Schizosaccharomyces pombe: one gene and its partners. The protein of the gene in region 1 interacts with the protein of each later gene in a biochemical or structural test. Each region holds a gene or a part of one and is shown on either strand. Other genes may lie near its edges. The genes, in order: rad3, cds1, ccq1 and mrc1.

The links.
Region 2: of the proteins of rad3 (region 1) and cds1, one has a biochemical effect on the other in vitro, tested with the Schizosaccharomyces pombe proteins (3 studies listed by BioGRID).
Region 3: of the proteins of rad3 (region 1) and ccq1, one has a biochemical effect on the other in vitro, tested with the Schizosaccharomyces pombe proteins (one study listed by BioGRID).
Region 4: of the proteins of rad3 (region 1) and mrc1, one has a biochemical effect on the other in vitro, tested with the Schizosaccharomyces pombe proteins (2 studies listed by BioGRID).

What each region holds. Positions count from the first base shown.
Region 1 is NC_003423.3:900,149-908,739, reverse strand, and holds the start of rad3 (ATR checkpoint kinase Rad3), read right to left. Parts: upstream 4,557-8,591; 5' UTR 4,376-4,556; coding exon 1-4,375. Other genes in the region: peptide-methionine (R)-S-oxide reductase Mxr2, read left to right, coding at 5,168-5,584; SPOM_SPBC216.03 (uncharacterized protein), read right to left, coding at 6,055-6,798; dynein-anchoring factor Num1, read right to left, coding at 7,759-8,591. UniProt on the Schizosaccharomyces pombe protein: Serine/threonine kinase which activates checkpoint signaling upon genotoxic stresses. Involved in G2 arrest following DNA damage where it phosphorylates chk1.
Region 2 is NC_003421.2:736,750-744,507, forward strand, and holds cds1 (replication checkpoint kinase cds1), read right to left. Parts: upstream 4,590-7,758; 5' UTR 4,482-4,589; coding exon 4,224-4,481; exon of another isoform or gene 4,133-4,223; coding exon 4,084-4,132; exon of another isoform or gene 4,017-4,083; coding exon 3,985-4,016; exon of another isoform or gene 3,940-3,984; coding exon 3,855-3,939; exon of another isoform or gene 3,787-3,854; coding exon 3,527-3,786; intron 3,462-3,526; coding exon 3,252-3,461; intron 3,214-3,251; coding exon 3,005-3,213; exon of another isoform or gene 2,933-3,004; coding exon 2,653-2,932; 3' UTR 2,612-2,652; downstream 1-2,611. Other genes in the region: protein Thc1, read right to left, coding at 771-1,121; THO complex subunit Tho3, read right to left, coding at 1,267-1,410, 1,477-1,555, 1,601-1,845, 1,888-1,956, 2,009-2,100, 2,144-2,417, 2,480-2,506; cab5 (dephospho-CoA kinase), read left to right, coding at 4,996-5,032, 5,081-5,754; ribosome biogenesis protein Urb1, read left to right, coding at 6,255-6,285, 6,328-7,758. UniProt on the Schizosaccharomyces pombe protein: Has a role in the DNA replication-monitoring S/G2 checkpoint system. It is responsible for blocking mitosis in the S phase.
Region 3 is NC_003421.2:1,482,496-1,489,178, reverse strand, and holds ccq1 (shelterin complex HEAT repeat subunit Ccq1), read right to left. Parts: upstream 3,040-6,683; 5' UTR 2,877-3,039; coding exon 669-2,876; 3' UTR 501-668; downstream 1-500. Other genes in the region: ubiquitin hydrolase Ubp5, read left to right, coding at 1-245; signal recognition particle subunit Srp54, read left to right, coding at 4,043-4,120, 4,601-6,091. UniProt on the Schizosaccharomyces pombe protein: Component of the meiotic bouquet that facilitates meiotic nuclear reorganization of the telomeres to the centrosome. Links telomeres to the meiotic centrosome component pcp1. Essential for the formation of normal telomere clusters during meiotic prophase.
Region 4 is NC_003424.3:4,206,471-4,215,652, reverse strand, and holds mrc1 (claspin), read left to right. Parts: upstream 1-3,264; 5' UTR 3,265-3,309; coding exon 3,310-6,369; 3' UTR 6,370-6,450; downstream 6,451-9,182. Other genes in the region: transcription elongation factor Spt6, read left to right, coding at 1-2,947; rps2502 (40S ribosomal protein eS25), read left to right, coding at 6,806-6,808, 6,859-7,099, 7,153-7,178; SPOM_SPAC694.04C (uncharacterized protein), read left to right, coding at 7,541-7,595, 7,939-8,858; SPOM_SPAC694.03 (nicotinamide-nucleotide adenylyltransferase), read right to left, coding at 9,073-9,182. UniProt on the Schizosaccharomyces pombe protein: Component of the replisome and is required for rad3-dependent activation of the checkpoint kinase cds1 in response to replication fork arrest. Phosphorylation allows it to mediate the activation of cds1.

The DNA of each region.
Region 1 (8,591 bases):
TTTCATGTAAAAGGAGTTGTTGATCAAACGAGTAATCATGGAAATTTAAAGACACTGCTTCGATTTCATCTGGATCATCAATTCCAGCATATATTTCCTGCAAAACTCTATAATCGGACTCTAAAGCTGCATATGGAGCTGTAGCATTACGTATGTGTTGCTCCCAATAAAACAATGCACGAGCATGAAATCCACAATTTAAAGAGACAATACCTAATGTTTTTGAAGGAAATCGAGAAAGAAATGACTCAACTTTTGAGATCGATGATTCTCGAGAGGTAGCATCTTCCACCGACATATAACGGTTCTCTTTCCTTGCAATGGCAGAACGTCTATCCCAATTCCTCTTCTTTCGCATGCGAAGCCATTTGTTAAGGTAATCCACAATCTTAAAAAATACATCTACAAATGAGGTGTATCTTTGTTGCCCCACGGAATTTAATCCATCAGGTCCCGGTTGATTAATAACAAGCTGGAATTCTTCAATGACTTTATTAACTTCCAGTTCTGACTCGGTTAAAATAACATTTAAAACAAGAAAGGGAAGAAGAAAACAGGGAATGTTAACCTCTTGGTCTTTCACTACTTTCGAACAAATACCAAATATTTTTTCAGCGTTTTGCGAATGGGCGTACTCCATCAATTTAAGAGAAAACAACTGCATCCAAGTATGAATAGTAACATTTTCTTTATAAATAGGGTACCGAATGTCAATTTTGGGGATTGGTGTTAAATGATACTTGGAAGTTAAAAATGGTATAAGCACACGTTTGGATAAATCAGGCAAAGACATCCAATGTTCTGTTACCACAGTTAGTCCCTTTTTTTTATTAATCACTGCGGACTTGAATCCACCAAGCTTTAGAAACTCTTGCAGAGCATAGGCAAGAAAACCTTGTGCTTTAGTATCAGTAGTAACAAGGAAAGCTGGAATTAACTGCGATTGCATAAAATCTAGAATAAACTTCAAACTTTCTTCTCCGTTTTCAAAGTTATCAAGAACAACTGTTTCTTTAATAATATGTTGAGCCTTGGCGCGGCTGGGATCTATCGCACCCAATTCACCAAGATTTTTTGCAGCAAGATATGATATTTGCATATTTGTTGAAGCATATTTTACACAACAATCTAAAAGGCATCTTAGTAATTGGTCCAGAACTTCGTTGGATATGTCCAAATTTAGTGTGTCATGTAACTCGTCCACCTTGGCTTGAAAAAAAAGTTCTAATTTTTGTAAACCTAAATAACAAACTGGCTCATTTTCGTTAGTTAAACACTTAATTATACTTTGAAGCTCAGAGTAAAAATCTTCATTTTGAAGCGAACAGAATATTTCTTTAGCCTTAAGGCTAAAGCACGCTGAATCCAGACTGGTGGGGATAGCCCACTTTAATCCTTGTAGGCACTTGTGTGTGTCAGAAGAAATAAAATCAAATATTTGAATTACTAGCTCTGCTTCTTGTGGTTCTAAATAAGGGAATAAAGGAGGTAAAATTACAAGACTTAAACCAGCAATTGAACTATACTCGGGCTCCTTGGTTGCTAATATCAAACTGAACCAAGCTTTGATTGCATAAAACCTTAAGTGCTCATTTTGAAAAGCACTTTGTAAATTAGAAAGTATCTGTGGTAATCCAAGTTTGACTGCACCTCCACATAAAGATAACATTTTTTCAATGCCGACAATTGTCTTAATCTTTTCATTAATTGAAGTCTTTCCTTTCAGGTCGTTAAGGATATTAGAAAATTCTGCTAAGATACCCAAAATGTGATTATTAAAAAAATCATAAAGTAATTCCTTATTGCTCAAGTCTTCGTCATTAACCACTTGAGAGACAATCATTGCTACCTTTCTTAAAGCATTTTCAATTTTTTCATGAGGAACATCATTCTGATAAAGCTGTAACAACTCCACAGTAATAGAAATAGGATCAGAGCGTAACAAAGACGTTAAATCAACTTTTTCAAAATCAGAAGTGGCCAGTGAAAGAAGAAGCATCACACTCTCTTCCAAATTAGGATGATCCGTAGTAAGTAGCGAAGCAAGGATTTTATGCATATTGGTAAGGCACAAAGTAGCAACATCACTTTGTGAAAGTTCAGCTATACGTACTATTAACGCTTTGTTTTTAGTAAGTACAAGGAATGGTAAAGTGTACGCCTGTGTTCGAATAAGAAAATCGCCCTCGGAAATATTCATAAGCTGAGCAAATAAACTGGCTATGTTCGGTTTTTTACCCATACCTTGGACAATCGCAACGGACACTGTTGGCCAATATGGAGAAAGTAATTGCCAAACGGATATATGACGCGTCGAGGCAATTTGTTGCAGAGCGCTGAGACCAATGCCTTGATAAAATATTCCGCTGTTTATCACAGAAGATATAACTTCCAATAGTACAAAATGTAATTCTTCTTCTTCTACCACTCTAGATAAGGAGATCCAGGAAAGAATGACCGTTTCTAAAATAGCTGTATTTTCCACCGCCAATATTTTCAACGTATTAAAAATCAAGGCTTTACTTTCCTTGTGAAATTCAACTATATCAAGATTATTAGGTCCCTTAATGAAAATGGGCAAAACTTTTGCAGCAACAACACGTAAACATCTTGAAGTACTGGCTAATGCTTTCATAATAAATTCTCTTAAACTTAACATTGATTCTTTATTAAAGTTTGAGCAATGCTGGCTCCACCGAAAAAAGCCATCAAGCAACAATGATTGTTTAACAGAAGAGGAAATTATGTCGGGATTTTTTAGCAATGCACAAAACAATTCGTGATAAGGAATTTTAAAGAGCGACCGCTCATCAAATAGTAAACAAAATGAGTTACAAACTTCACAACCATGTACTTCATATGTGCGGAAAATACTATTTGTTTTCTCATTCACCTTTGCAACATGAGTACACAAAACTAAAGAGAAGTTCTTCAGGTCGTCCTCACTTATTGTAACATTATGAGAGCTATAATAATCTAACATTTCACGAAAGTGCTTTAAATTAGACGGTTCATCTAAGTTGTTGTTTATACACCATTTTGCAAATGTACATATGTTATGACCATTCTGGAAATCCACTTTAAGAATATTTGACAAGTCATTGTCCAAGGAAAGATAATGTAAAAGAAAAAGGTTTAATTCAGAGTTAGAAAACAACGTGTTTTCAAGTTTACCAGTACAAATTTCGCCAAAAGCACGGAGAGTTGTTTGATCTATTTCTGAACTTTGGTATCTGCACTTAAATAATATTATTGCCTTTTTGAGATCAGAATCTGGTTCAAGTTGCTCTAATACCTTGAAGTCAGAAAGTAAGGAAACCCCAAAAGGATAGAATAGACCAGCTACAGTTTTGGGTAAAACAAATAAAGAGAGAAAAAAAAGAGATATAGCAGTATTAGCAACTGTATAAGTTTTCTTCAATGATCCCAATGTTAAGTTGATGGAGGACATTAAAATATGTTTAGATTTTTCACAAATGGGAAGGCCATGATATATAAAATTCAAGGAAAAACAGCATAAAGTTTGGACTATACGTGAATGCAAATGTAGAAAGAGCTGTGAGTCTCCGATGCTGATTCGTTTTAATAAAATAACAAAATTAAAAAAACATGGCTTGATCCAAGTCCACGCTGTAAAGAGAGGTGGACTAGGAAAATTGGATTTCTTTAAATATGAGCATTGTGCAAAAAAATGGGCACTTTCAAAGAAAAATGTACAAGCCTCCTCTATATTAATGATAAGTAAATCAAATTTGTCCTCTCGATGGGTTGGATAATTTGGGGTGATACTCTGCAATGGTTGAGAATTGGGTGAGGGCATCTTGTAAGGGAATGTAGCATTAGTGATTTGGAGAACTATAGAAGAAACGTTTGTAATATAATATTTCCAATAACGCATAAACGAAGCATATAAGTCCCATAGGAATGACTTTTCACTGATTAGCTGATAAATTAGCTTATGAAACTCTTTTAATGAGTCAAATAACTTAATAAAACGAATATCAGCAAACAATGATATAGTCCTGGGTAAAATCCAATCCAAAAGAGTAACAGATGATTTAATCTCCCGCAAAACTGTCGGAGACCTTTTTAAGATTAGCATTAACGCTTGTAGAGAGAGATGGGCTTCTTTTAGCATCTTAGGAGAGATAAATTCAGATTTTGAATCATCATGTTTAAAAGCTAGAAGACCAACTTCAATTAAAACTTCAACAAGCTCGGAGGTCATAGATGGTAAAGAATTACTTCTACCTAACTCATGTTCTTTGTCTAATGCTAATACTTCTTTCAAAAGCTGTCCGAAAGCCTGTCTGTCATCTAAGCCTCTGGGTGAAAGATCGAGTGACCCAGCTTTCCTTTTTGCGTGTTGGCTCATACTATATCAAACCATTGATTCAATTCAAAAAAAGGCCTTTTTAAAACGCAACACGCGCGTTCAAAGTCTTGAGCATTTATAAAAGACGATTGTAAGTAATAAAATATCTCAATAGAATTATGCGAAAAGTGGCAATCGATTATCAAATCGATTTCCACTCACGAGGTAAAGGAAGATGCATGGTGCACTAAGTATCGAGCGATGCTAATTAACGAGCTTTTGTGATACTGAATTTTCAGAGGAAACTAACTTTTAAGTAATATTAGGCTGGATGTTTCTGATAATGATTGAATTTTTTGACTTTTGATGTGATTATAATGGTCAATAAACAAAAAAAAAAGTTATTGTTGAAAGGTAGTAGGAGAGAAAATAAGCTATTTTACGGCTAATAAAAGAAGAAATGAGTTTTAATTCAATTATTTCTTAAATAAATAATAAGAAAATATTGAAAAGATAAGTTATAATCGCACATCCTAGTTCTCATTGACTATAGCGTCAGTGGAGCGTCATACGCAGGGCATTGGTTCACTAGATCGCGGATTCTTCTGTGTTTTATACTTACTAAGCAGTTTTTACTTGGTACCTACCTATTCACATAAATAGTGGTCAAAAAGTCGTTTACTTACTTGAAAATTTTTGTAGTGCCAGTTGTGGTACATATCGTCTTGTGTTTTCATGAAAAAAGTGATTACTACACACTTTTCAATCTGTGGAAATACGAAGTTTACGAATCTTTTGAAACGTGCATATAACGTCTCCTACCCTGTCCAAAACGTCAAAAATAATACAAAGATGGGATTTCCATTGGAAAAAAGCGAAGATGAATGGAAAAAGGAGCTAGGTCCTGAGAAGTATCGAATTATGAGACAAAAGGGTACTGAGCACCCAGGTGCAGGACGATTCACTCATCAGTTCCCTAAACAGGGCGTTTTTGTTTGCGCTGCATGTAAAGAGCTTCTTTATAAAGCTAGCACAAAGTTTGAAAGCCATTGTGGATGGCCTGCGTTTTTCGATAATTTACCTGGAAAGGTGAAACGCATTGAAGACAACTCTTATGGAATGCATCGTGTAGAAGCAGTTTGTGCCAACTGTGGTGGTCATTTAGGCCATATTTTTAAAGGAGAAGGTTATTCTAATCCTACTGACGAACGCCATTGTATAAATTCGGCGAGTTTGGAATTCCATAATGAGGCAACAAATGACAATTGAACTAGATTATGCTTAATATTTCTGTATTTTCTTTATTAGATGTTAGCACCAGTTCGAATTGTTTGTGCTTGATGTACGGCTATTATTTTATTTAAAGTTGCTTGTTCACGTTTTGGTTAACTTCAATAAAATGCATTTACTTTTAACATTTTAAACTAATATATTTTGTTTTCAAAGAGTGTAGTAATCTCTAGGTCAGAAATTAGATTTACTAGCCGTATGTTATAACTAAGCTGCTTATGCCAAAGTTAATAAACGATAACACAATGTTTACACTACCTGATATGATCTTCCATTTATTTCAACTATAAAGGGTATAACTAAAGTATCCCTCACTTAAATATTTATTAATTTGCGTACGCTTCATAGGTCATTGAAAAATTTTCGTTCTTTTTTCAGAAGATTTTAAGAAAGGAGTAAAAGATGCGTGGACTACAATAATACGCGAAGGATCCGAAAATGTCATTACATTATACTGAATAAGTATAGGATGATTCTCCTTTTACGACGAATCCAGCAATGGCTTTATATATTGGCACATTTCCATCCGTCATGTCAACCACCAAATGGATGGACTGATTATCAAGAGCGAACAGTAGTACAGTACGCGCGACGTTTTCACGAGACATCATACAATTTATGGATATCTTACCCAATGCAACTTTTCCAGAACCCTTCTCGTCTGTCATACCAGAAGGACGTAAAATCGTCCAATCAATATCACTAGAGCGTCGCACTAATTCCTGATCCGCTAGGTACTTGTAATGGTAATAAGTTCCAATTGACTGATGTATTTTCTCACTTAGCTCTATATCAGCAGCCGTATAGTAAGGAGGAGGAGGTTGGCTCATATCACGATTATCTATCGCAGATATCATAATTAAGCGTCGAATACCAGCTATCCTCATAGCATCATAAACTTTTATAGCACCTTCATAATCGACGGCTCTTGTTCGTTCAGGGCCGCCTTTACCTCCTGCACCGGCTGCAAATATAACAACATCAGGGTGTATTTCAGCTAAAAACTGAGCAATATCATTAGGCGTCGCCTTCTCAAGTGAACAGACAGAAGTTCTGCCATGCACTTTTTCAATGTCTTCATTCTGAACATAATCACGTACAACATTGTAAACTATATGGCCAGCTTCTGTAGCAATTTTAGTAAAAAGCAAGGCCACCTTTCCATGCCCTCCAAAAACAACAAAAACAGTCATTTCTTACAAAATAAAAATGCTGACGATGATTTCTTTAACCGTTGGGAATCAAGAATCCAATATATCCTTCTCCCTTATTGAAAAAGGAACTTAATTAGCTGATCCTTTGAATAAAAGCAATGGCAATTGTTAAAATGAGTAATTTTTAGAATTGGAAATGCTGTGTATCTGTCAAACCCCTCTTAAAAAAAGAAAGGAATAAGGAAAATGAAAACAATCTACAAAATTGAATCGAAGAGACACACCACAGGGAATGAGCAAAAGCACGGTTTACCTAATTAGTAGTACCGAGTTAATTATGTGACGTTTTCAGTTTTTGTATGGTAAGCTCTAATAGTTTTAACATGATGTAACGATGCAGTAAAATAACTAGCCAGATATATTGTGCTCTTTTTAACTTTCGCTAAAAGTTCTTGGGGTAATACACGGAAAGTGCATCTGGGCACTAAAATCATTTAACAGGTTGCTTATTATTCATTCAGTAATTGAAAGTCGCCCAGATTTGTTATGTTTACCAGTAATAGCAATGTTTAATTCTTTGCACATAAAACTCCGTCAAGGTTAAGTCTGAATCTTCTTTTGCTTATACGGGATAATTTGTTTTGATAAAACTAACATTATCGATGTTACCTTTAAACGTTAGTCGTCTTTTGTTTGCTATTTAAATGTCTCGTATGATAAATTGATTGATTAAAAATGAATTGTATAGAAAGAGCAATTTTTTCGACAAAATAGGAAAGTATATCATCCTCATTAGTGCATGTCGAATTGCAATAAAGCTTGATCGTATAAACCTCATTTACAAAACTGATTAAGACATTTGATTCTTAGTTGTTTACAGTGGTTTAATATCTTTCTATTTGATGCCGCTTAATAAAAACAATTGGTATAACTTTAAAAGTTGTTAGGGAATATTGAAACAGTTTACTTTAAAACTTATAAGCAATGACTGAAACATGCTTAAATGCCGGGCTTAGTATCAAAGATAGCCTTATGATTTATTTGTTTGATAGCTTGAACCCAGATATTGTGAATTTTCTTGCTTTTCGCTTTTAAGACGATGGGCTTATCAGTTGTCTGCATCACAATAACTTCATTATGTAAATTGGCGTTCTTTAAGGCATCTGGGGCTTTTATAATAGTCATTCCCTTAATTTTCACAGACTTGACTTGATTTTTCCTTCCTTTTTCAATAAATGGATTTGTTTTAGACCAGCACAGCATTTCACAATGCGGGTTAATCCAAAAATAGCGCCAATGACTCTTTTTAAACATTTTGAAACTCTCACTTCTCGGGTACTTCATCATTTCGTTTCCCATCATGACATGTTTCATCAATTTGTTCACAGAATTTGCATTACAAGTTGAAGAAGATAAACCTGATAGATTCAAATTATCTCTGCATTTTTTCGTATTTGTTTTGCTTTTGAGATTATTGCGAGGTAAGGTGAATACGTCTGACACCGTCGACAAGGAAATAGAAATCGTCGTAGCCGTACTTCTTGCTTTCAATTGACGTGCTGATTGCGAGGAATCATGCCGAGTTTTTTCAACTTCAGCTGTTGGATAAGTACGAGTATTCTTAGGTGCAGACGGATAAGTTGACGCCTCCCAATTATTATGTTTTGTAAAGTCTTTGAAAAGCATTGAGGAAGTTCCGTTTGAATGTCTTGAAGACATATTAATGTCCAAAGTAACATCAGAAGTTTCCAATGATTGACGTGAAGCAATTGAACGATTCTTAAACATCGAGGATTGAGCAATTTTTTCCCATTGTTCCCAGTCATGCTCTT
Region 2 (7,758 bases), on another chromosome or scaffold:
AGTTCTCCTAGACGTTGTGCTTTACTTAAACAGAGAAAAAAAAAACATCTGGAGACTAATTGGGTTAAACAAAGGGCATGTTTGAATAGATGTAACAGATGGTTCGGCTAATGAAAAGTAAAGGCAAGCATTTTCATGAAAGATATCTATAGTTTTTTCTTTTAAAAGGAAAATTTTACAGAAGAGCATTTATTATGGTTATTATTTTCTAGTGATTGTATCAGCTTTTTAAGTTTACGTATTCGAACCCAAAGTAGCTATTGTTTTTATTTTTTATTTTTTTAAGTCATGAATATTATATCTAACGTAATATCCAGCAGCCAAATCTTCCATATAAATAACAAAGTAGTAACCAAGGGATTTATTCTCATTAGATAGCCATGAATAAATAATATCAAGAATATAATCATCTAAGCATCTTACAGATCATTCGAAATTTCGTTTGTTTGACAGCTCTTTTAAAACACACTGAATAGATAGCATTTTCAAAAACGCGAGCAACCAACAGAACAGATAAAAATTTTCCATTTGTATAAAAATAGTAAAGTGATATTTATACAAAGGCAATAGAAGAAATAGCCCGTGCCATTCAAATCAATCGAGATTGTTAAGCCAACTAACAGTTGCAATTTTAAACCAGTTGGGTTAATAAAAGATTAAAATTAGGTTTTTAGCCAAACGAAATTTTATAAAACACTCGGCTGTCCGAAAAGTTGTTGGATTGCGATTAATTTTTCCGGTAAGTTTAAGCTGTGTTCTAATTTATCTGTTTAACCTGAAGTCAAGAAATTTTGTAGTGGAATAATTCTTTTCCTTTTACATAAACGAAGTACCTCATCGTGCGAACCGTAGAATGGTTTAATGATAGCATTCAGTTGACTGCCCCAACGAAGTGAATCTAAGTAAGCCTTTTGAGCTTCCTGCGGCGAAGAAAATGTCAGGTAAGCTCTCATACTATCCTTCCAAGTAATAATTAGATCAGGTTGTTTAAAATAACTTCTTAAAACGCGTTCTGTAAGATAAAGTCCTTGTGCACTTAAAATGTACGTAGAATGACTTTCAACAACTTCTACTGGACGTTCAATATGCTTAGATAAAGAAACAGTATTTTTCTCTTCCATTCTTCAAAACTTTTGGTACCAAATAAGCTAAAACTACAACTTCAATGAATATTGAAGGTATCCATGCTAAGAGTATAGGGTAAATACTAAGTAGCCGTTTTTTTATTGTTGATCAGCGTGAACAAGATTGCCAATTTTCAATCATTTATAGCCCAAATATCTTAAGACCACTAGAATTAGGCTCCGATACAGCATATGCTAAAATATGTTTTGTTGGATGCCAAGCTACCTTGTTCAGAGGTCCATTAGTTGGAATTTTCCAAATTTGATCACCAGTTTTCGTATCAGCCTTCCAAGTTAGTTTATTAAAAAGAATAAAAATAAGAAACGGTTTCAAACATCCTGAAATACTTACGATATCCACATAGCGGTCCTCTGATCCACTAGCTAAATAGCGACTGTCATAACTAAAGCTTAATGTACGGATGGGATAACTTTTTAGAAGTTAGCGACCAAAAAATTTAAAAGAAACTACATACTCCATTCTAGTAATCGACCGTTCACAAATCAGTTCTTGTGGATCCCATAAACTAGTAATTGCATCTGCACCACCAATGGCAAGGTGCCTGTTATCCGGACTGAATTCAATACAGAAACAATTTGAGTTATGCGCCTTTATATCGTAAACTCTTTTTAGAGAAGGCCATTCCATAATTTGCACCGTGCCAAGTCCTGTAGTCATGAAAAACAAATCTTCACTGAATGACCAACAGCATTCATTTGTCTATTAATCGTAAGCAAAGTTATTATTGGTTTAAAAACAAACCTCACAAGGTTGTTGGAATGTCTCCATTATTCTTCTTTCCCGAGCATCAATAAAAGACAACATATCATCCTAGCATTCAATTAGCAATCGTGCGTTATAAAAACTTAAAATATTCTCGTACCCGACTACTAGCACAGCAGTAATTTCCACTTGGACTCCAGGTTGCATAAATATTCTCATAGTTGCTTTCTATTTCAGCGATAGGTTTGGCGCCTGAATAAATAGTTAACAAACAGTCAAAGACTTCATTGCATACTTCTAAAGTCCCAGAAACGGATCATTTTCCCAGCATACACAGCCATTAACCGATCAGAATGCGTAGGATCCCATACTAGTTGTTCGACAAGACCATATCCTCTGTTCCCTAATTCAGTAGTAAATTTAAAATCCAAACGATCTGAATTCCAAACAAGTACTGATCCTGAAGATGAAGAACTCGCAAGTCTCGAGCCGGAAAGATTCCAGCCTAGGGAACGTATAGGTCCCTGTTGCCCTTGTAAATCTCGAGTTTTCAATTCGGGAAACTTTGGCTAAAAAGAAAAAAGAAAGTTTTAGTATTTTATGCTCTAGTTTTTATAAATCATTAACATACAAGCGATTCTGTAACTGAAGCACACATGGCAAAGATCGCGTCGAGACGTCCAAAGGGATAGTAGTACGTGGACAGAGTGGTTAGTGTAAACTTACTGTCTATTTACAATATTATAAATTTGACGGTCTAAGTATAAAAATTAATTATCATTTAGAATACTAAATATTAATAATCTAACTCGAAGAATTGAGCTGTTCGGTGGCCTCATGTTCAGACGATGATGGTGGAGTACGATGTTCGTGTGTGCTCACAGTGTAAAACCAAGGATGCTGGAGAGCTTCACTTTCAGATATTCTTTTCTCTGGATTAATTTCAAGCATCCTGTTGATTAAATCGATTCCCTCTTCTGAAATTTCGTTTTCTAATAAAGGCTCTATCGGATATGCACCTTTTGATATCAACTCAATACATTTTGCTTGTGACGAAGATGCAAAAGGAATAGACGCAGTAAGCCTGTGAATTAGTAATTGGAAAAAATTAAGGCATGAAGGTTCATTGCTAATTGATTAAAGCCGACAAACTTACATCACATATAAAACACATCCCAAACTCCATATATCAACTTTATCATCATAACCTCCGTCCAAGTTGACGTTTTTTGACTTCAAAACTTCCGGTGCTAGATAACCCATTGTCCCGCAAAATGTTTCTAAAAAGGTTCCCGTCCCATGAATAACTTTAGCCAAGCCAAAATCAGATATTTTAAGATGGAAATCATTTGTTATAAGAATGTTCTACAAGTTAGACTTTCTTATCAATAAACAAGATATACCTCGGGTTTTATGTCTCTATGTGTCACACCCTGCTTGTGCAAATGTAAAAGCGTTTCTAAAAGTTGTTTGAGAAGAGGTTTACAGTCTTGTTCGTCGATGGAGCCATTAGCAATTAAAAAATCCATAAGATCCCCACCCTCAACATATTCCATAACAATAAATAACTCGTCATCATTTTCAAAAATTTCATGGCATTGTACAACTCCTGGCTAAAAGATAAGTGTTAGCTAGGAGTTTTTCGTATAAAAAAAGGTGAACATAAAATGATACTCACATGGTGCAAAGATTTTAATATATCAATTTCTCGTTGAAACATTTCAGTAGCTCGCTTTTCCGAACTTGTCAAAAGGATTTTTCGTTTGTTGATAATTTTAATAGCATACCACTTGCCACTATTCACTTCTACCGCTAGCTTGACAACTGCAAATGTACCACTTCCAAGTGTACGAATAATTTCGTAATGACTGTTCTCGGATTTAATCATGTTTTTCTGGGAATCTCGTGAATGTTTAACTGGTACCTGGCACAAAAAAGCTATAAGACTGTAAGCAAACTTGAAGTGAATTCTACGTCAACAATCTCCTTCAGTGTAAAGGACGTACAAATTTCATCTTTCGGCACACCTAGGCCAATTCGAATTTCATCTCCGTTTGACAAGATAGTTCTACTATTCTTGGCAAGCCGTTCCTAAATGACGTCAGTAAATTGTAAACGAATTAAGCTCTCGCTTACAAAATTCAGAAATGTTCCATTAGAAGAGTGGTCTGAAATTGTTAGAAAAGGTGGAAGAGGCAGAAGACTTTAAAAGATTTTTTAATCCTTTAGACTTACCGTGTAAAAAAACGACATTCTCAGATTCATCGGAATCATTTCTATGCCCCTGGGTCATTTCGTTAGATAATTATGTCTTAAAGAGATTGAAGTTCAATTAAAACTAAACGAGTTCAGCTGGCCACTATTATTTTATATACCTGATAGATTTCAAAATGAAAGTTGCTAACTCTAGGTCCGTTTAAAACCACTTCACAAGATTTATGACGTCCAAATCTCCAAAACCCATTGTGCACATCTGTAGTAAGAGGAATCACTTCTGTCTTACCATCAAGCATGCGAGTCATAACCAATTTCATAAATACATTTTCGTTGTTAACCACCTGTTTGGCTATGTTCTGACTAACATGTAGTGGTGCCTCTTGAGTAGCCTGCGTAGCTTCTTCTGGTTCTTCCATAGTATCTTAAAAACAGAAAAACTGGATGAATTCTTTAACCATGTATATCAGTAAACACAAATAAACGTGCAAATGAGTGATCAAGCTTTTAACAGAAGTAAAAAGACCAAAGAAGCAGTTATCATGTCAGACGAGGGCTTATGATTTACTGACTTCGCTTTAAACATCGTTATAAATTTTACGATATAAAATGTATCATAAGACAATAATAACGAACTGTTGCAATACCAGATTTTTCGCGAAGCACGAGTAATATAAACAATGTTTCATCCACCTACTTTACTGTACGTTATACGTAGTGAGGATTAAATGTTAATTGTTAAGTAGTAGTAATCCCTATTTATATTTTTTTGGTATACGTGAAGGTTGCCATCTGTCAACATTCCTTTGTATTTCAAACTTCGACTTCCGCGATTGAAGACTTTGTTCTACGGCATTAAATAGTTTTCTGATCTCCTTAATTGTTACCATTATTCAAAAATCTTCTATACCAAAGCAAGGAATAAGAAATATAATGCTGATTCTTGGTTTAACCGGCTCAATTGCCACGGGTAAGTTATCAAATAACAATTGGTTTAATAGTGGTTAACCTAGTTAAGGGAAATCTACAGTTTCTCGCGAGTTTCAAGAGAAATATCATATAAAAATTATCGATGCTGATGTGTTAGCTAGAAAGGTGGTAGAACCGAATACACCTTGCTTAATAAAAATTCAGAAAGAGTTCGGTAATGAAGTATTACATGAAGATGGCACTTTGAATCGAGCAAAGCTTGGCCAGGCAGTATTTCAAGACGCAGGAAAGAGGTCACTTTTGAATTCAATAATACATCCAGCAGTACGTTTGGAAATGCTCAAAGAACTGCTTCGATGTTACGTACGGGGTTACAGCATAGTTATTTTGGACGTTCCTTTGCTTTTTGAAGCTAAAATGCAATTTATTTGCTGGAAAACGATCTGCGTGTCTTGCGATAAAAGCATTCAAAAGCAACGTTTGCTGGCACGTAATCCTGAGCTTACTGCAGAGGATGCTGAAAACCGAGTACAAGCGCAGATGCCTCTTGAACTTAAGTGTCAGCTTGCGGACATTGTAATAGAAAATAATTCGGATCTTGAGACCTTATATGAAAACATACATAATGTCCTACCTTTAATCACACCTTCCTATTTTTTTACCTTACTATGTTTAATTCTACCGCCATTGCAAATAACTTTACAAGTTATTGCCTTTGTCTCGCAGAAGAAAAAGGTATCTGAATTCAGAAAACATATATAATCCTTTTTTCCATATTCTTTAATTTCCTCGTTTGTTATTTAAGCCAATAGTCTTAATGTTTTTGCTTATAATTAGATCATTTTCATAACTTATCTCAATATCTTGCCTCGAGCTTTCTATATAAATTCACGAGTATATGTTTTATCATGATTTGAAATGAGAAATTAAATCTTTTCATGCGCATACAAATAGCTGAACACTACAATAATGATTAATGTAGAGGTTCTCGCTTAGATTTCTGGGTTTTAAATAAGAAATCGATTGCGTTCCTTCTTTCATTGTCTGTATACTTGGGTATTGAACTTGTATTAATCAATCTTTGCTACAATGCGTGACTTATATTTATGTCAAAGAATAATTAAATTTTTTTTGTTAGTTTCGTTGGGTTAGCTAATTTTTTGATTGATATATTTGTTCACGTATTTACAATTTACATGTTCGCATCCACCATCACTTGAACACCTTGTCAGTAAGTGTTCAGTAGCCAATTTTCTGGCAAAATGGAATCTGGATCTATTGATTTGGATAAGGGTGAGTCAATTTAGTCATTACAATTATGCTAACTCCATGTAGAGATAGATGAATTGAGCAGGGTTTTATTAGAGCATCCTGCTCATGTGGAAAAAGTTTTAAAGACCGTTGAGTTCGATAAATCTGCCCTTCGTTATATTGATGCAATTTTAGATCATCATTTGAAGCAGATATATCGGAATTTGACATCCAATTCTCCTTTGCATACGCTTTCTCTACTTCAAAAAATGGCATCTTGGAATAATGGATTGGCATGTGTTCGTGTATTCCAAGCTATTGACTGGAACAGTAAAATTTTTATAAAGATGCTCCAGCTACCTAATCAAATTCAAAATTCTAGGAAAGGAAATAAGCGTCTCAAAATCACTATATCAAAAAAGCGGTCCTCTTTACTACTTCTTTTCATTACATTCCTTAGGCTTGGTACACCAGAAATTCGACTGGAAATATTAAATTCAAGGAAACTAACTACTCCTTTGTTTAAAGGTATATACAATGATGAGCCTTCGGTTCTTAAGGAGCTACTTCAATGTTGGCTCACTTATGTGTTACTAGATCATGATGTTTCTAGGGCAACAAAATTATCTTATTTTAATGAATGGTCATTGTCATGCTTAGCTTCTCTTTATTCAAGAGATGATGAAATTGATGGCATTTCCTTATGCAATCTTGTTCATAAATTTTTTGTCGATGCTTGTACAGTACCTGGTGAAGGGCTTTGCTTCGTATCAAATGGATGGCATTTACAGAAGAAGGTGGATGGACAATCCAAAACTATTTTTAATCGTGTCTTACAGTCATTTGTTTTTTCATTGCATGTTCATACAAGTACTTTACAGCGGGAATTAGTCCTTAAAATATTAAAGGCTTGTCCAGATATTACGGCATCATTTATAGAAAGAAATAGTTTGACCTCTGAACCGGTATTATCTTATCAATGGATTTCTTTCGTTTCATTACTCCAAGCAATACTTGGTATGGGCATTCCTTTTCCTTTTTACGATGCAGAAACAAGAACAGTTCCTCCTACTAATATTATAATTGAGAACATATTGCCTTCTTCCTTTTCAAAGCCTGTAGTCCTTAAAGCATTGAACGGTAATGACAAATTTGTCTGTTTTTTAACGGTGAACACTCTCTTAGCGTCGTTTAAACGTTTAGAGTCTGTATTGGATGAAATCAAACGCTCTGAATTGTCTGAAGATAATAAAGTTGAACTTGTGTCAAAGATATCTGATGCAATTTTACTACGTTTACCCGATTCTCAAACTTTTGTACAGCTTTATTCTTCTACAGAATCAGATTTGCTGAAAGAAGGACTTTCAAGGATTTTACTTTATTTTTTCACTTATTTCCCGGAAAACATTTTGAAGTTAAAAATTGACACCTCTATATTTCTACGGTTAGATCTTTCGCCGGGAATGTTAGACCGTCCATTTTCACGTTTACATGTTGAAAATATTATCCAAATTC
Region 3 (6,683 bases), on another chromosome or scaffold:
CCCAGGAAAAATTCATCGATACAAAACTACGTCTTGCAGCTCGCACACAGTATCCAGAAAGCATTTTCAGCGTTATTAAATTCTGTGTGGTGGATTTTGATAACAATAGAGTTGTCTATTTGAATGATGAAGACATTACATATGATGTTGTTGAAAAACTAAACGGTACATTGGCTTTGGATCGTGCTAAGAAAGATAGTAAGAAGCCGAATATACTCGACCGTGCTATTCAGATGAAAAATTAGTATTTAAAGGCTTTACAATCCTTGCTGGTTGTTTGGTCCTTACCTGTTGAGCATAAGGTGCATGAAGTTTTATACAGGTTCGATATTGCGAGCATAACAAAATGATATGAAGCATAAAAAATTATTTCATCAATGTTGATATTGCATCTTTTGAGGATGCATATTCGAATTTGATACAATTAAAATCTTTCAAAAACAAATTCAAAATTAATGACATAGATCATTGAATCTAGTATGTAACGAAATGTCTAACTTCTTGATGAATATATGAAGAAAACCAATATATTTTTGCAACTGTTGAAAAATTAATACAATTAAAATTGTTTCATTAAAAGCTGATTACGACATAATTTAATCAAATAACCGTATGACTAAACGAACTTTTTATAGTTGATTCCACTGAAGTTCTTGATCGTTAATGATTTAGTTAGAATCAATAATCCTTGGTGATTGATTATGTGGAGTAAATTTGGGAAGAGACTTCTGCTCTAAAATTTTTAAGGTCTCCTCCAGAGAAGAGACCTTAGCGAGTAATGCTTCTACCCTTGAATCATTATAAACTTTTACCTCTTCCATAACTTTAGAATTTATAGCTTGTAAGCGCTTACATTCAGCTTGAAGTTTCGCAACCTCTTTGCTTTGCTCAGCAGCAAAAGTAGATGCATTTTGATATTGATTAGTAATGAAATCAGCGTCTTCTTTCTGTGTTTTTAACAGTTGAGTAAGTTTGTAATTTTTTTCGTTGGCTTCAATTAATTTGCCTTGTAGATCTTCATTCGAAAATTCTTGTACATATTTAAAGCCAAATTCTTGTTGCTTAGCTAAGTGGGTAAGCTCTTTTTTAAGGTTTGCGATTTCTTCAACCTTCTCAACTTCTAGCTTTGAAAGGTCTTCATTCTTTTTCTTCGATTTCTCCAAATCCAGCTTGAGCTCTCGAACAGTGTTTCTGTATTCTTGTAAATTATCCGTCAGCTTAGAAATTTGCTGCTCCAACTCCTCTGAGCGACTTTGTTGTACGTTTTTGGAATTAATGGCTTCGTGTAATTCATCTTCTACCATTCTTAAACGACGCTGCAGGTATTGGACAGCTGCACCTTGGAGATCATAATTATTGGAAAGTTCTACCTCATCAGCTTCCTGTTGAGAAAAAAAGTTTTTCTTTAGTGAGCTTGATGACAGTAAATCGGTGGCATTACTTGTTAAAGAGTGGAGTTTGGAAGGTGATTGCATGCTTTGCGACGAAGGAAATGTACTATCAGATGATTTGACAAAAGTATCGTTCACCTGAGAAACAGAAGGCTGAGAATCCCTTGGTTCTGCAACCGATAAGCTTGCTAAATCCATTAGAGGAGGTAGTGGCCAAGAAGAGAAGTTTTCTCCATTTTTTAACCAGGTCGCAACATTTTTAGCAATATCTCGAGTTTTTTCTGTAATAGAAGAGTGAGATTCTGAGCCTAGGATTTCCTCAAAGTTCCCAGATTTCTCAAACAAAGTGCTCAAATTTGAAGCTTCTGAATTTTCCTCGGAAGAAGAACTAAGAGTGGCAACCACACCCACAATGTTCACTAAAAATGAGGCATTGTAAGATGATTGAAAACATTTTATGGCATGTTCTATAGATCCCAAGTGAATGAGCCTAAGGACAAGGCTTTGAATAGAGGGCAAGGAACTAGTGACACTCATGTATGCTTCGATATCATAAAAAATGGTTGCACTCAAATCTGGGCAAGATTGAAGAAAATGAGAAGCGGAGGGAGCCTTTTTGGACACACAAATCCAAATTGCTGGATGTTGGCTAGTCTTTGCATCCTCTTCAGCCCATAACTCAGCATCAATGTTTTGAGATTTTAGCCATTGAGTAAGTGTGTTTGCAAGAAATTGGTTGGAGATAAATAAAAAAAATGTCTTAGAATAAGAGGGGGAAAGATTTTTGAATAATTCTTGCAAAAAAAGAAATTTTGAAGAATTTTCGGCATATGAAGAGAAATTAGAAGCATCTAAAGAAACGTGGGAATTAGTGGATTCAGCAGCGGAGGGATTTCGAACTTCAGTATCATACAGACTAGGATGCTTTGCAATGTTATGAGCAGATTGAATAAAAAGACGTATTTTTTCTTGGATTCTTGAATCGCTAGGACCAGTACAAAAATGGTCAATACAAAAGGCAAAGTATTGAACCAACCGATGCATCATTTTCCTTTGAAGCGCAGACATTGGAAGGCCAATATCTAGCACGCTGAACGAGGATTTAGAAGATTTAGTAATAGATTCTTCCGAAGAATCAAAGGCAGTGTCATTTTGCAAAGGAATAGGAAATAACTGCTGGGTAGAAGGGAATTCATCGACCTCTTGAGTTAAAAAGTCATTTTCAGAGTGATCCAAATCAGTCCGTAAAAATTTTTCTATCTCTCTTTGTTTGGATGCAGGTTCTTCATTACGCATGCAACTTAGAGGCTCTTCCAATTTTCTCTTATGGCCTGCTAATTTTAGAAGCCATACATCTTCCAACGGGCTAGGGCAATCCTCTTTGGCAATCCATCTATTACTGGAATTCACCTCAGAGTAAACCTCGTATTTCGTATCACTTTCATTGATAATAATTGAATTCGTAAAGTCGTTAATTTCGCTCATACTGCCATCCACGTTAAAATTCAACAAGAAATTGAATGTTTAAATATTGCAACACGAGACCAATTTAGCGTCCGAAAAGAAATAATTTTCGCACGTTTAGAGGAATTAGATGGTCTAAAAAGAGTCTTTTATTATCGTTTTTACAAATAACCACCCAAATGTTGTTCCCAGAATTCCGTGTTCGCCTTTAAATTTGTACATATTTTTACGAAATACACTGTGTAGCGGAAAATGTTTACAGCATTTAAAAGAGCTCTAATTACTTTTTTTCATATAACAAATCTTTATTTTAATAAAGTAACGCGTCACCTCTCTATTTAAGTCTATTATGTAAACAAATATAACTATTCACCCATAACGCGTAGTAAATGTTATTTCTTTTTCAAATTTTGTGTTAAGGGGTTAACGATTCTTTATCTTTAGTCTTATATTGAAAAAACAGCTAATTGCAATTCATTCTGGCTCTTATAAGGACTTGGAAGTGCTTTCCTTCGTGAAGTTTGGAAAAACTGGATCTTAAGACTAATTGCTGGATTAACGCACGAAAAATTCCAAAAAAGTTTAAGGTGAATAAGAACATACGCCTGAAAAATATATAAAAAGTTTCAAATATCAATCTTTTAGATCTTTTTCTATTAGCGTCTTAAAACACAAACTACAGCAAGTATGAATCAAAAGATTGTGGGACAAAGTTAGCCACCACGGAATTTACGATTCGTGTTTCTATTACAAATGTGAGAAAGAGAAGCATCAATAATTGTCAGGACCTAGTCAAACACTTTTACACATGAGTATAATCTTAATAAGTATTTTATTTTTTAAGATTATACCTACTGAACTTTTGCTATAGATTAATTCTAAAATATTATACAAACAAGGTATTATATAGGAATGCTGTGCTGCGCTATCCTGTCGATATATCACCTATACTGAAAACAATAAAAAGCTTGCAGGCGAAATAACTCGGTATTAAACTCAGTGAAAATATTTTTTAAAAAGATAATATCAAACTCTTCTTTACTTCATCTTTAGGCATTTATCATATTGCCTCAATTGTCTATTGACTTTTCGCTTGAAGACACTGCATGTCCTTAACGACTTCATCCTCTACCAACCACATTTGACGAACTTCAAATTGCCTGGTTGGAAGTTTTTAATCTGACAAAATGGTTTTTGCAGATTTAGGGCGTCGTTTGAACTCTGCGTTAGGGGACTTTTCTAAGGCCACTTCAGTGAATGAAGAGGTATGTTTTATTCTATCGAAAATTTGTTCTCATACGGAGAGTGAGCCATGTCATTTATAAAAATATTTAATACATCTTTGCTTGATTTCTTCAAAAATTTTGCATTTGCCATGTTTTACACGCTGTATATGAACATCGTTTCATGCTTTACGAAATTTGTCGATAAGAAAAATCATCTACCACAGATATGCTTTTCTAGTTGCGTAGCTGGTTTATCCAATCTCTTATATATATATATCTTGATTGCATATTGGGATTATCTTCGTTTACATCGACGTTACCTTGACATGAAAATTTAAAACCCTTTTTAATAATGCAATGTTAGATTTTGGTTTCAAGTTACTAAAAGGGTTTACTTACCAAGCAACTTTTAGGCAGCTGAAGATTTTTTTAATGACCTCTAGTTTGTTTTCCCAATGTTCTGTTTTGATTAGGATATCTATCGTTTTAATACGAACCTTTACTAATAATTTTATTTAGCTTGTCGATACTCTGCTGAAAAATATATGTACGGCACTTTTGGAAACAGATGTTAATGTGCGATTGGTTCAAGAATTACGTTCAAATATTAAGAAAAAAATCAATGTATCAACTTTGCCTCAGGGTATAAATGGGAAGCGAATCGTCCAGAAGGCTGTCTTTGATGAACTTTGCAGTTTGGTTGACCCTAAAGTTGATGCTTTTACTCCTAAAAAAGGGAGACCTTCAGTGATCATGATGGTAGGTTTACAAGGCAGTGGTAAAACGACAACATGCTCAAAGCTTGCTCTGCACTACCAAAGGAGAGGTTTGAAATCGTGTTTGGTTGCTGCCGATACTTTCCGTGCTGGTGCTTTTGATCAATTAAAGCAGAATGCTATCAAAGCACGTGTTCCTTACTTTGGTAGTTACACCGAGACTGACCCAGTCGTTATTGCCAAGGAAGGTGTTGATAAGTTCAAAAACGATAGATTTGACGTTATCATCGTTGATACATCTGGTAGGCATCAGCAGGAGCAGGAGTTGTTTGCTGAGATGGTGGAAATTTCAGACGCTATTCGCCCAGATCAAACAATTATGATTTTAGATGCTAGCATTGGTCAAGCTGCCGAATCTCAAAGCAAAGCGTTTAAAGAGACTGCTGACTTTGGCGCTGTAATAATCACAAAATTGGACGGACATGCCAAAGGTGGTGGTGCTTTATCCGCCGTGGCTGCGACTAAGACACCCATCGTGTTCATTGGTACCGGTGAACATATTAATGATTTGGAGCGCTTTTCTCCACGTTCTTTTATCTCAAAGCTACTCGGACTCGGTGATCTTGAAGGTCTGATGGAACACGTTCAGTCTTTAGATTTTGATAAAAAGAATATGGTTAAAAATCTTGAGCAAGGAAAGTTTACGGTCCGAGACTTTCGAGATCAACTCGGAAATATTATGAAATTGGGACCACTTAGTAAAATGGCTAGTATGATTCCAGGCATGAGTAATATGATGAACGGTATGAATGATGAGGAGGGATCTTTGCGTATGAAGCGTATGCTCTACATCGTTGATTCAATGACCGAACAAGAGTTAGATTCGGATGGTCTTCTATTTGTTGAACAACCCTCTCGTGTTTTACGTGTTGCAAGGGGTAGTGGTACAAGCGTTTTAGAGGTAGAAGAAACCATTTCTCAGGTCCGAGTATTTGCGCAAATGGCGAAAAAGATAGGAGGAAAAGATGGAATTTTGGGTAAACTTGGTGGAAATCCAGCCGCAGCTCTCAAAAAAGACCCTCGTCAACTTGCAGCTATGCAGAAAAGAATGCAAGCCATGGGTATGGGGGGAGGAATGCCTGGCCTCAATCCAGGTTCTATGAACTTTGGTGATATTTCAAAAATGGCTAACATGTTGATGGGAGGCGGAGGTCCCGGAGGGGCAGGTGGTATGGATTTCAGCGGTATGCTCAATCAATTTCAAAATATGCAAAAGCCTCCTCGAAGACGTTAGTTTACTTCCCTCGTTATTATAATGTACTCACATATGGCATATTTTACTCTAATACCTTATTTACTGTTTTATAAAAATATATGCATTAAAAATTCATCGTCCTTCTCGTTTTCCTTTTTCTTTCCCTAATTACTTAACGTTTGCTTTTATAATTGTGTAAAATTTGTTTCTATTTCTACTGAAGAGCTAGCAAAGTTTGCTAAACCGTAAACGTGAAGCATCCTTGTATGATTGCTCTCGACAATTATTTGCAGATTTCTTAAGAGCTCGGTTAGCTTATGTTAATTGCTCTTGCTTCGTAAAATGAGAATTGGATTTATTGTATATTAATAATGGTAGTGTATTGAGAACATAGTTTTTTAGCCGATTAGGATTAAGTTTTGGGTTTTCTCATTCTATGCAATCACATGAAAAAGCTTCTTGAAAGTTTCAAATTTGTGCTTTATTAATCTAATTACTAGTTTGAACAATGAAGGATACCTAAAAATAGGCCAAAAGGCTTGTACGTAGAAAGCATAAATTAGAACTAACGGCAACTGGAAGCTATATTTGAACAGAATGCAGAGATGAACTTAAGTGGAAGATTCTATAG
Region 4 (9,182 bases), on another chromosome or scaffold:
AAAATTGTACTCTGATTTGGGAATTAATGATGATTTAGTAGTTCCCTTCTGTGAAGCTGCTTCCTCTCTTGATGCAATTGATGACCTTAATGATTACATACATTTCACTTATTCTGAACAAATCCGTGATCGTGCCTTACTGATGGGTACTGGTCTTCGTCGTCCACAAGGTTCGAAGTATTCTTTTTTTGAAAAATTTAGAAAATCATCACTTTACAATCTCGTCAAAGAATTTGGTATGAGTGCTAAAGACTTTTCGTTCAACGTAGCACAGGGTGCTCGTCTCCGTTTTGTGGAAGACAACACCCTTTCGCCTGAAGAACTAAGTCGTACTTATGTGACAAATGAGCTGTCATCACCTGAGCAGGTACTTCAAAAGGCACGTAGAGTTTTAGCAGAGGAAATTATTCATGATCCTCAATTTCGAAAGTCTTTCCGTGACAAATTGTACAATGCTGGAGTCGTTACTGTTTTGGCCACTCAAAAAGGTGTCCGTAAAATAGGTAGTGAGCATCCTTATTATGAATTTAAGTATTTAAAACGGAAACCCTTGGGCTCGTTTGAGTTAGAGCCAATCCTATTTTTAAAAATGTTAAAGGCCGAAGAAGAGGGCTTAATTCAACTATCGATTGAATTTGAAGATCCTGATGATGTTTTTAAAGGTTTACTCGAGCTTTTTGTTTCAGATAATTTTTCTGAGAACGCAATGCAATGGAATGCTCAGAGAGAATTGGTATTAAAAGAAGTATTTAAAAGGTTTTCTGCATTAGCACCCGATGCCATACGTGAAACTTTACGTTCTCGATACCTGGACGAACTTGGAATGCGCTGCCGAAATCAATTGTTTTCAAGACTTGATCAAGCTCCCTATGAGCCCTCAACTAAAAATTTCGATCGTGGCACTATTCCATCAGTCCTTGCCGTCTCCAATGGAAAAGGTGAATCGTCTGATGCCATTATCTGCGTATTTGTTGATGATGTGGGTGAGCCTACTGATTCATTAAAACTTGCCGATCTACGAGATCTTGCTAATCAAGCAATGTTTGCTGAATTTGTCGAAAAAGTTAAGCCAGATGTTATAGGTGTTTCGGGAATGAGCGTTTCTGCTCATAAAATTCGTCAACACGTTCAAGATTCGTTAACGTCTCACGAACCAGTAGATCTAATCATGGTGAATGATGAGGTCGCTCGTCTATATCAGAATTCTACTCGTGCTGTTGATGAATTTCCTACTCTACCAACTATTTCTTGCTACTGTGTTGCATTGGCTCGGTATGTACAAAACCCTCTGTTTGAGTACGCTGCTATGGGTCGTGATTTGATGTCTTTATCATTTGATCCTTGGCAACATTTGCTTCCCCCTGATGTTCTCTGGAAATACTTGGAAACTGCGTTAGTCGATATATCTTCTTTGGTGGGTATTGACATTAACGAAGCAGTGACTAACAAATATGAAGCTAATATACTTCCCTACATAGCGGGATTAGGTCCTCGCAAAGCAGATTATGTTTTAAAGAAAATCGCTGCTACCGGTGGACGTATTGATAATCGTAGTGATTTAATTTCAAAACAAATAATGTCGAGAAAAGTTTTCATTAATTGCTCTTCTTTCTTCATTATTCCTAATGATGAGTATCCCAATATGGATATTTTAGATTCTACAAGGATACATAATGAAGACTACGAGTTAGCTAGAAAAATGGCAAGTGATGCACTAGAACTTGACGAGGAAGATATTGAAGAGCTTGAAACCAATCGAGGGGTGGTTTACCACCTTTTAGAGGAAAACGAAACAGGAAAACTTGATGAGCTTGTTCTTGAAGAGTATGCTGATCAACTGGAACGTGAATTTCACCAGAAGAAGCGAAACACTCTTGAAAAGATCCGTCTGGAGTTGAAGGATCCTTATGGAGAGCAAAGGAATGTATTCCATAAGCTGACACCTTCGGAAATTTTCCTAATGTTAACCGGAGAAAATCCAGAAGAGTTGCAAGCAGATGCAATTGTACCCGTGAATGTTAGGCGAGTTACTAATAGGTTCGTTGCCGTCAAACTCGATTGTGGAATTGATGGAAATATTAAAGCCGATGAAGTGAGTGACGATTTTATACCCCCTCCCCAATTGCTTCAGGTTGGTCAAACAGTCGAAGGTGTAATTATTTCTTTGGACGAGGCTAATTTTATGGTTGATCTTTCACTTAGAAATAGTGTTTTACAATCGGCAAATTCTAAAAGACAAACTAGCTCTCATCGTACATCTTATTGGGATACTGAGGCTGAAAAGCGGGATACTGAGAGGATGCAGGCCGAAACACAGGCTGAACAACGAGTTGCTCGCGTAATTAAGCACCCGTTATTTAAGGATTTAAATGCCTCTCAAGCCGAAGCATATCTGTCGAAAATGCAAGTTGGCGATCTAGTTATACGTCCATCTTCTAAGGGCTCTGACCATATTGTCGTTACATGGAAAGTCGCTGAAGGCTCCTACCAACATATCGATGTGTTAGAATTGGAAAAAGAAAATGAGTTTACAATTGGTCAGAAATTACTAGTAAAGGGAAGATTTGAAAAAATGACTTATCAATACAGTGATCTCGATGAGCTGATTGTTTTACATATTAAAGCCATTGCTAAAAAAATAGATGAAATGTGTATACATGATAAATTTCGAAAGGGTACACAAGCGGAAACCGAAAAATGGCTTGAGAGTTATTCTGAGGCAAATCCTAAACGATCCTGTTATGCATTTTGCTTTGATCATCAACATCCTGGATACTTTATCTTATGTTTCAAAGCTAGTGTTAATAGTCCTGTAACGGCATGGCCGGTGAAGGTTATTCCAAATGCGTTTTTTTTACAGGGCAACGTTTATGGTGATATGACTGCACTTTGCAATGGTTTCAAATTGCTGTATGCTGCTCGAACTAAAAATTTTAGACGGATGTGAGCATTGATGGTTTAAACGCTTTACTCTTATCTGCAACTACGTGACATTTGTTTTACATAATTAAAGAAAACCACCCTTGGTTTATTTCATTTTCACCGAATTTTTGGCACATTAATATTGAAATATCCCTTTTTATACAGTTGATATCTATATGTTTTTTTTTTTACAATAAATTCTCTTAATACCCTGTATTTTTATGTATATATGTTGTAGTTTTCTTGTTAATAGAGCGCAGCTTGGAAAGTCGCGACGCGTCAAGACGCGTCGCGTTTGTTGATGAATTCTAAGGAGGACTAAGAGATGTATCGCGGCAAAGCAACTACCATTACTCGTTCAATAAGAGCTTTGTGGTGCTTAAATCTATGGCATCTTTAGACGAGAACGCTGATGAGTTGCACAGAATGGATTCTTCTGATGAGGCTTCCATCAATGATGATCAAGAGGATATTTTAGATACGCCTCGCACTAGGGTGAGGAAAATGTTGGCGAGTGTTGATATGCAATTGTCTAGCAATGCTGTATCTGAAGCATCTTTGGATAAAGAGAGTACCGTTGGCAATTTAGAGAATCAGAAAAATCGCTCGTATAGCAGCGAAATCTATCTTCATTCTGATACGAATTTTTTATCTAATTTTGACTCTGCTTATGAACGTGTTAGGCGATTATTAAATCAACAAGGTGGTAAGTCTTCTCTCCAAAAAAAGGAGGTTGAACAAATTGAAACTCAAGAGGGAGGTGATAATGCGAAGGGAAGTCCATCCTCTGAAAATAAGGATTCTGATAGAAATTCACGTTTACAACAATTAATTGAAAAGAAACGAAATGCCTTGAAGAAGGAACAGGAAGATCTGATCCAAAACTCTGCTACAAGCCATAGCAAATCAGATAATTTAGATTCTGAAAGTGCAGATGATAGCGATTTGGCAGACGAATCAGAACTTTCAAAGAAGTATACTTCCGACAGAAAAATTCGAAATGCATCTAAAAAGGCTTTACTGGAACTACATCGTAATACTGCCCGCTTAACTAGAGAAACAGCTTTAAAACCAGAAGTGGTTGTTAAAAAGAAAGTGACTCTTCGTGAATTTTTTCAAAAAATAGGATTCAAAAACGATAACCAGCTTGAAAATAAAGCAATTTCGGAAGAGGAAGCTAACTCAACTGAGCCTCCAAATGTTGAGAAGGAAGAGCCAAAACCTAGCGTTGACCGGTCCACGGGAATAGTGAACAGTGAAGACATAAAAGAACTTTCGGTTGAGGATGACTCTTTAGAGTTGAAGGAAATCACTCCTGAAGCATTGGATATTGGTCAAACAAGCTTGTTTACGACTTTAAATCAAACTCAAGTTAAGAAAGAGGATAATAAAAAATTTTTATTAAAGGAAATTAATGCAAAATTGAATGAGGATGACATTGATTCTGAGCTGGAAATTGAAGTTAAGCCCAAGACTACAGCTCTTGATAATATTGAGAAATCAAAGTTATCTGAAGAGAATGAGCATGGAATTAAGGGTAAATTAAAGCAACTTGCTGAAATCAAGCTCAGCAAAGATGGAAAGCCGTTCGAAAATGAATTTAACATTAAGTCTTTTAATCGAAACCTTGTGAAACGTGCAGCTGTTATGGCAAAATTGCAACGCAACCAACTTGAGGAGGAATTGAAAGCAAAGGGAATTTATAAACCGACAATTCAAGGTGAGAAAGAAGAGGAAGAAGATCCGCTTGAACGCGCTAGAAATGATGCTGAGAAAATACGACAACTGGAGAAAGCATCTGGAAATGCAAGTGATGAAGGTGAACTCAACGACGAGGAGGAGGTTATATCATCTTCTAATACTCCATCTACTAAAGCCAAAACCACCAACAAGGTCATAATATCCGACGTGATTATTGAGGCAACACAGGCAGAACCCAAAAGGCGACAAAAAAACAGCCGTGTTGTTTTTGATGAAGAGGATCTAACTGGAGATTCGCATGGTTCTTCGAATATGAAAATTTCTGAATCTGATGATGAAAGTAATGGAGATATGATTCGAGATTCCTTCGATAGGTTAAGTAGTGAGAGCATCAAAGATTCTCAGAAAACAGAAGAATTACACGATTCTTTTGGCATTAATGACGAAGTTGATCAATCTACATCTCTTTATGTTCAAAACAGTCAACCAAGCGCTTCTCAACTCACAATCGTCGACGCTACATACAGTCAACCTCCTCCTCGTTGGGAGTCTTCTAGCAGAGACGACAAAACCAACACCTCATCTACACAGCCGAGTCAAGTAGATAGTCTAGTTCCTACTCAATTAGATTCCACTATTCCTACTCAAATTGATTCTGTTCAACGTAACAAGGATCAAGATGATGAAGAAATATTGGAAGAAAGACGAGAGTCAAGAAGGGACTCCAAAACATTTTTGAGTCGAACTATGCTTTACAATAAGGATACTGGTAAGGCTGATTCTGCATGGGCTTCAGACCTTATTGAGGAGCAAGCTATTGAATCTGATGATGAGTATGCTGGAATTGGTGGCCTTTCCGATGATGGGTTGTCTGACAGCGATGCTGAATTAGAAGTTCAAAATATGATTGATGACGAGACTACTATACAAAAAGGCGAGGTAGCTTCAATGGCACAATTCGCTAAAGATCAAGAAATGGATCGTGATGAAAAGTTAGTAAAACAGCTAATGAAAGACGTTACTACTGGTGCTCTACGAAAGAGGAATAGGAATGGATTTGCAGCTTTGGACGATAGTGACGATGAAGATTACAGTAATTTGCGGCGCGAAAAACTCAAGGAGTTGCGGCGTCAAAAATTATTGGAAGATGGAAACCTTAATGTCTTAGAAGGTGATAAAAGGAAAGCATTTTTAGCTACTGTTGAAGACAGCCTTGTCAGCAGCAAAGACAACCTTACTTGGCTTGATGCTACAGTGGAAGACTCTGGTGTAGGTTCTTCAGATTTAGGTGACGAATACCTTTATTCTGAACAATCATTAAATCATGAAGAAGAAGAGCAAATGGAAGAGGAATTAAGCGAAATATTCTCTAGCGGTGGTCCCAATGTCGTTGATAGAGTATATCTCAAAAAATCTTCAACAAGACATACCTCTGATAACAACAGCTTAGAGGAAGTTTTACCAATCTTTCCTGGAGTAAGGAAACTAGTGAGTAATTCACAGTCCGAAAAAATTGGTGACCTATCAAACGATAACTCGATGGGAGCAAAGTCTTATAAAACACCTATAATTTCTTCTACCCAACGTCCACAAGGACGGAAATTTAGAGGTTTAATGAACCAGTCTTCTAAAGCAGATATTTCCAGAACTGTAGATGCAGGTAGCATCAAAGTTGTCCCCAATTCACAATCCGCCAATCCACCTCGGCTGTTAGCTTCTTTGAATAATTACTCGGACTTTGACTAAGTGGCTAAGAAAGGGGATTTGACGAGCTGGACTTGTCAAACTTGTTTTTTTTGAATGAGGTATTGATAATTTACATAACTAAATTACATAATATAATTTAATGATTCATTAGAAACTTTTGAGATTTTTTAAACTACTTTTTGGTGTATCGTATGTTAACTTTTAAATCTAAAGCAGCTCTTTATTGACGGTTTGAAAAGAAAACTAACTTTCTACAGTAAACCAAAGAAAGGTTACTCAAAAAGGCTAAAGTTGAATGAATTCATCTTTCTTCACCAGCAAACCCGTTGTTTACAATATTTACGTATTAAAATTCGCTATCATCAATATCGCTCTGTAAAGTTACGCGGAAGAAAAATGTAGGGTAGGGTATTAAGAACAGTCACGGCACAATACTCTTTGACAATGAATGTCTATGAAACAAACCATCCACAAAATGGTAAGAATTTTAAAATGATTAAAGAGATAAGTTGATTAACAAAGAAATAGGCTCCCAAGAAGAAATGGTCTAAAGGAAAAGTGAAGGACAAGGCTCAACACGCCACTGTCTTTGACAAGAGCATCATCGACCGTATCAACAAGGAGGTTCCTGCCTTCAAGTTCATCTCGGTTTCAGTCCTTGTTGACCGCATGAAGATCAACGGATCTCTTGCTCGTATTGCCATTCGCGACTTGGCTGAACGCGGTGTCATCCAAAAAGTGGACCAACACTCTAAGCAAGCTATCTACAGTAAGTTTAATATTTAAGTTGTATTATTGCATATACACTAACACAATTTTTAGCACGTGTACCTGCTGCTACTGCTTAAGTTATGGTGTTGCCATTAATCAATAAATCCATTTTTTCATTTTGAAACTTTATCAATGTAGCCAATTTGCTTAGTGTTAACATTTGGTAGAGGTAATTTATTAGCAGTTGTAGATGTAGTATTCTCTGAAAAAGTAGTGCAGTAGTTTTGCTTCAGGAATTGCTAAATTAGTCTCAGTTAGAAATATCTGATGCGTCGGGTACTTTGATAGATGGCTAGTTGAAGATTTCTTCGACTAGCTTAGTGAAGTAGCGTAGCCTTCGTTATGCTTTGGCCTATTGAATTTCATGGATTTGAACTACAAACAGAACACGCTTCCTGAACAATAGACTTTGCTTGCTGTTTAAAAAGGTTTTAAAGAAATGAATAATTTAGTTAAAATTGCTACTCATAGTGGTACTTTTCATGCAGATGAGGGTGAGTACTTATTTCTAAATTAGCTGTTGCAAGATGCTTGGATTTAGTTGCTGGGGGGAAAAAAAATACAGAATCAAAAGAGGTTGGATAAGTCTGATTAATTGGGACCTTAAGCGGATTAAAAGTTAGGGGCTTGTGCGGTTTTATATTGATAGCTCTTGTTTATTATTCAGGAGATTAATCATTCAATTACTCATTTTACTATGCAATTTTTTTGATTTTTGTTTGCATAATGCACAATCAATCTGTCCTGGATTTTGTACCTATGACTTTGTCCTTGTTGCTCCCTACAATAGCTTTCTTTCAAATCTTGCTCTATTATACTAATTATTAAAATATTTAGCCTTGGCTGTTTACATGCTTCGCCGTTTAGATAGATTCTCCGGTGCCCAAATTGTGCGCAGCCGTGATCCTCAAGTTTTAGACTCATGCGACATTATTGTAGATGTTGGAGGAAAGTACGATGGTATTAAATATTTTGACCATCATCAACGTGAATTCAATGATACTTTTTCACCCAAATACAGCACTCGTCTTTCTAGTGCCGGTTTGATCTACAAACATTTTGGTCGTGAAGTTATTCACGCTGTCCTTCCACAGTTGAAAATAAACGAGCAGGATCTTGAAACACTTTATGAAAAAGTTTATCAATCATTCGTTGAAGGTCTTGATGCTAATGACAATGGAATTTCTGCTTATCCGGCTGGCCTAAAGCCTAGCTTCAAAGCCGCTATGAGTCTACCTGAGATGGTTTCAAGTTTCCTTCCTGCATGGAATTCGGAAAAGCAAGATGACCAAACTTACCTTGAATGTTTTCAAAAGGCCTCGGATTTAATGGGTACATGGTTTGTTCGATCTGTAGAACATTATGCTTTATCATGGTTACCAGCTAAAACTCTCGCTCGAGAAGCAATTTTGAAGGCTAAAGATTCTCCTATTTTGATCGTAGATCAGTTTTTTCCCTGGAAGGGTCATTTATTTGATATTGAAAAAGAACTTGGCATTGAGAACCAATTTAAATACGCTATCTACTCTGATGGGAAAGCTTGGAGAGTTCAGGCTGTTTCTATTGATCCCACTTCTTTTACTTGTCGCTTACCACTACCAGAACCATGGAGAGGAATTCGTGATGAAAAGCTTTCTGAGTTAACTGGCATTCCAGGTTGCATCTTTGTTCATGCTTCCGGTTTCATTGGTGGTAATCAAACTTTTGAGGGTGCTCTGGAAATGGCTAGGAAAGCTTTAGATTTTCCACAAAATTAAAAAGCATGAACATCAGTATATGTTATGTTTGATAGCAGCTGATTGTTTTAAATCTAGTATATATTTTATCATTAGTCTGTACAAATCAATATACATAATGCAATGGGGCCATGTGCGTTGTCAATATCTTATTCGCCTAGTCAATTGGAAACTTTTGAATGGGTTTTGTAGCATTCATAATATATAAGGAGCATATCAACTTTAGTCTCTCCAGTTAGCGATGGCGGTACGGTTGGATTACCTTGATGACATTTAAAATCTCTTGAGGTATGATTTTACGTTGGGTTTCTTCGTCTCCAGAGATGATCGCTTGTCGTGCTCTCG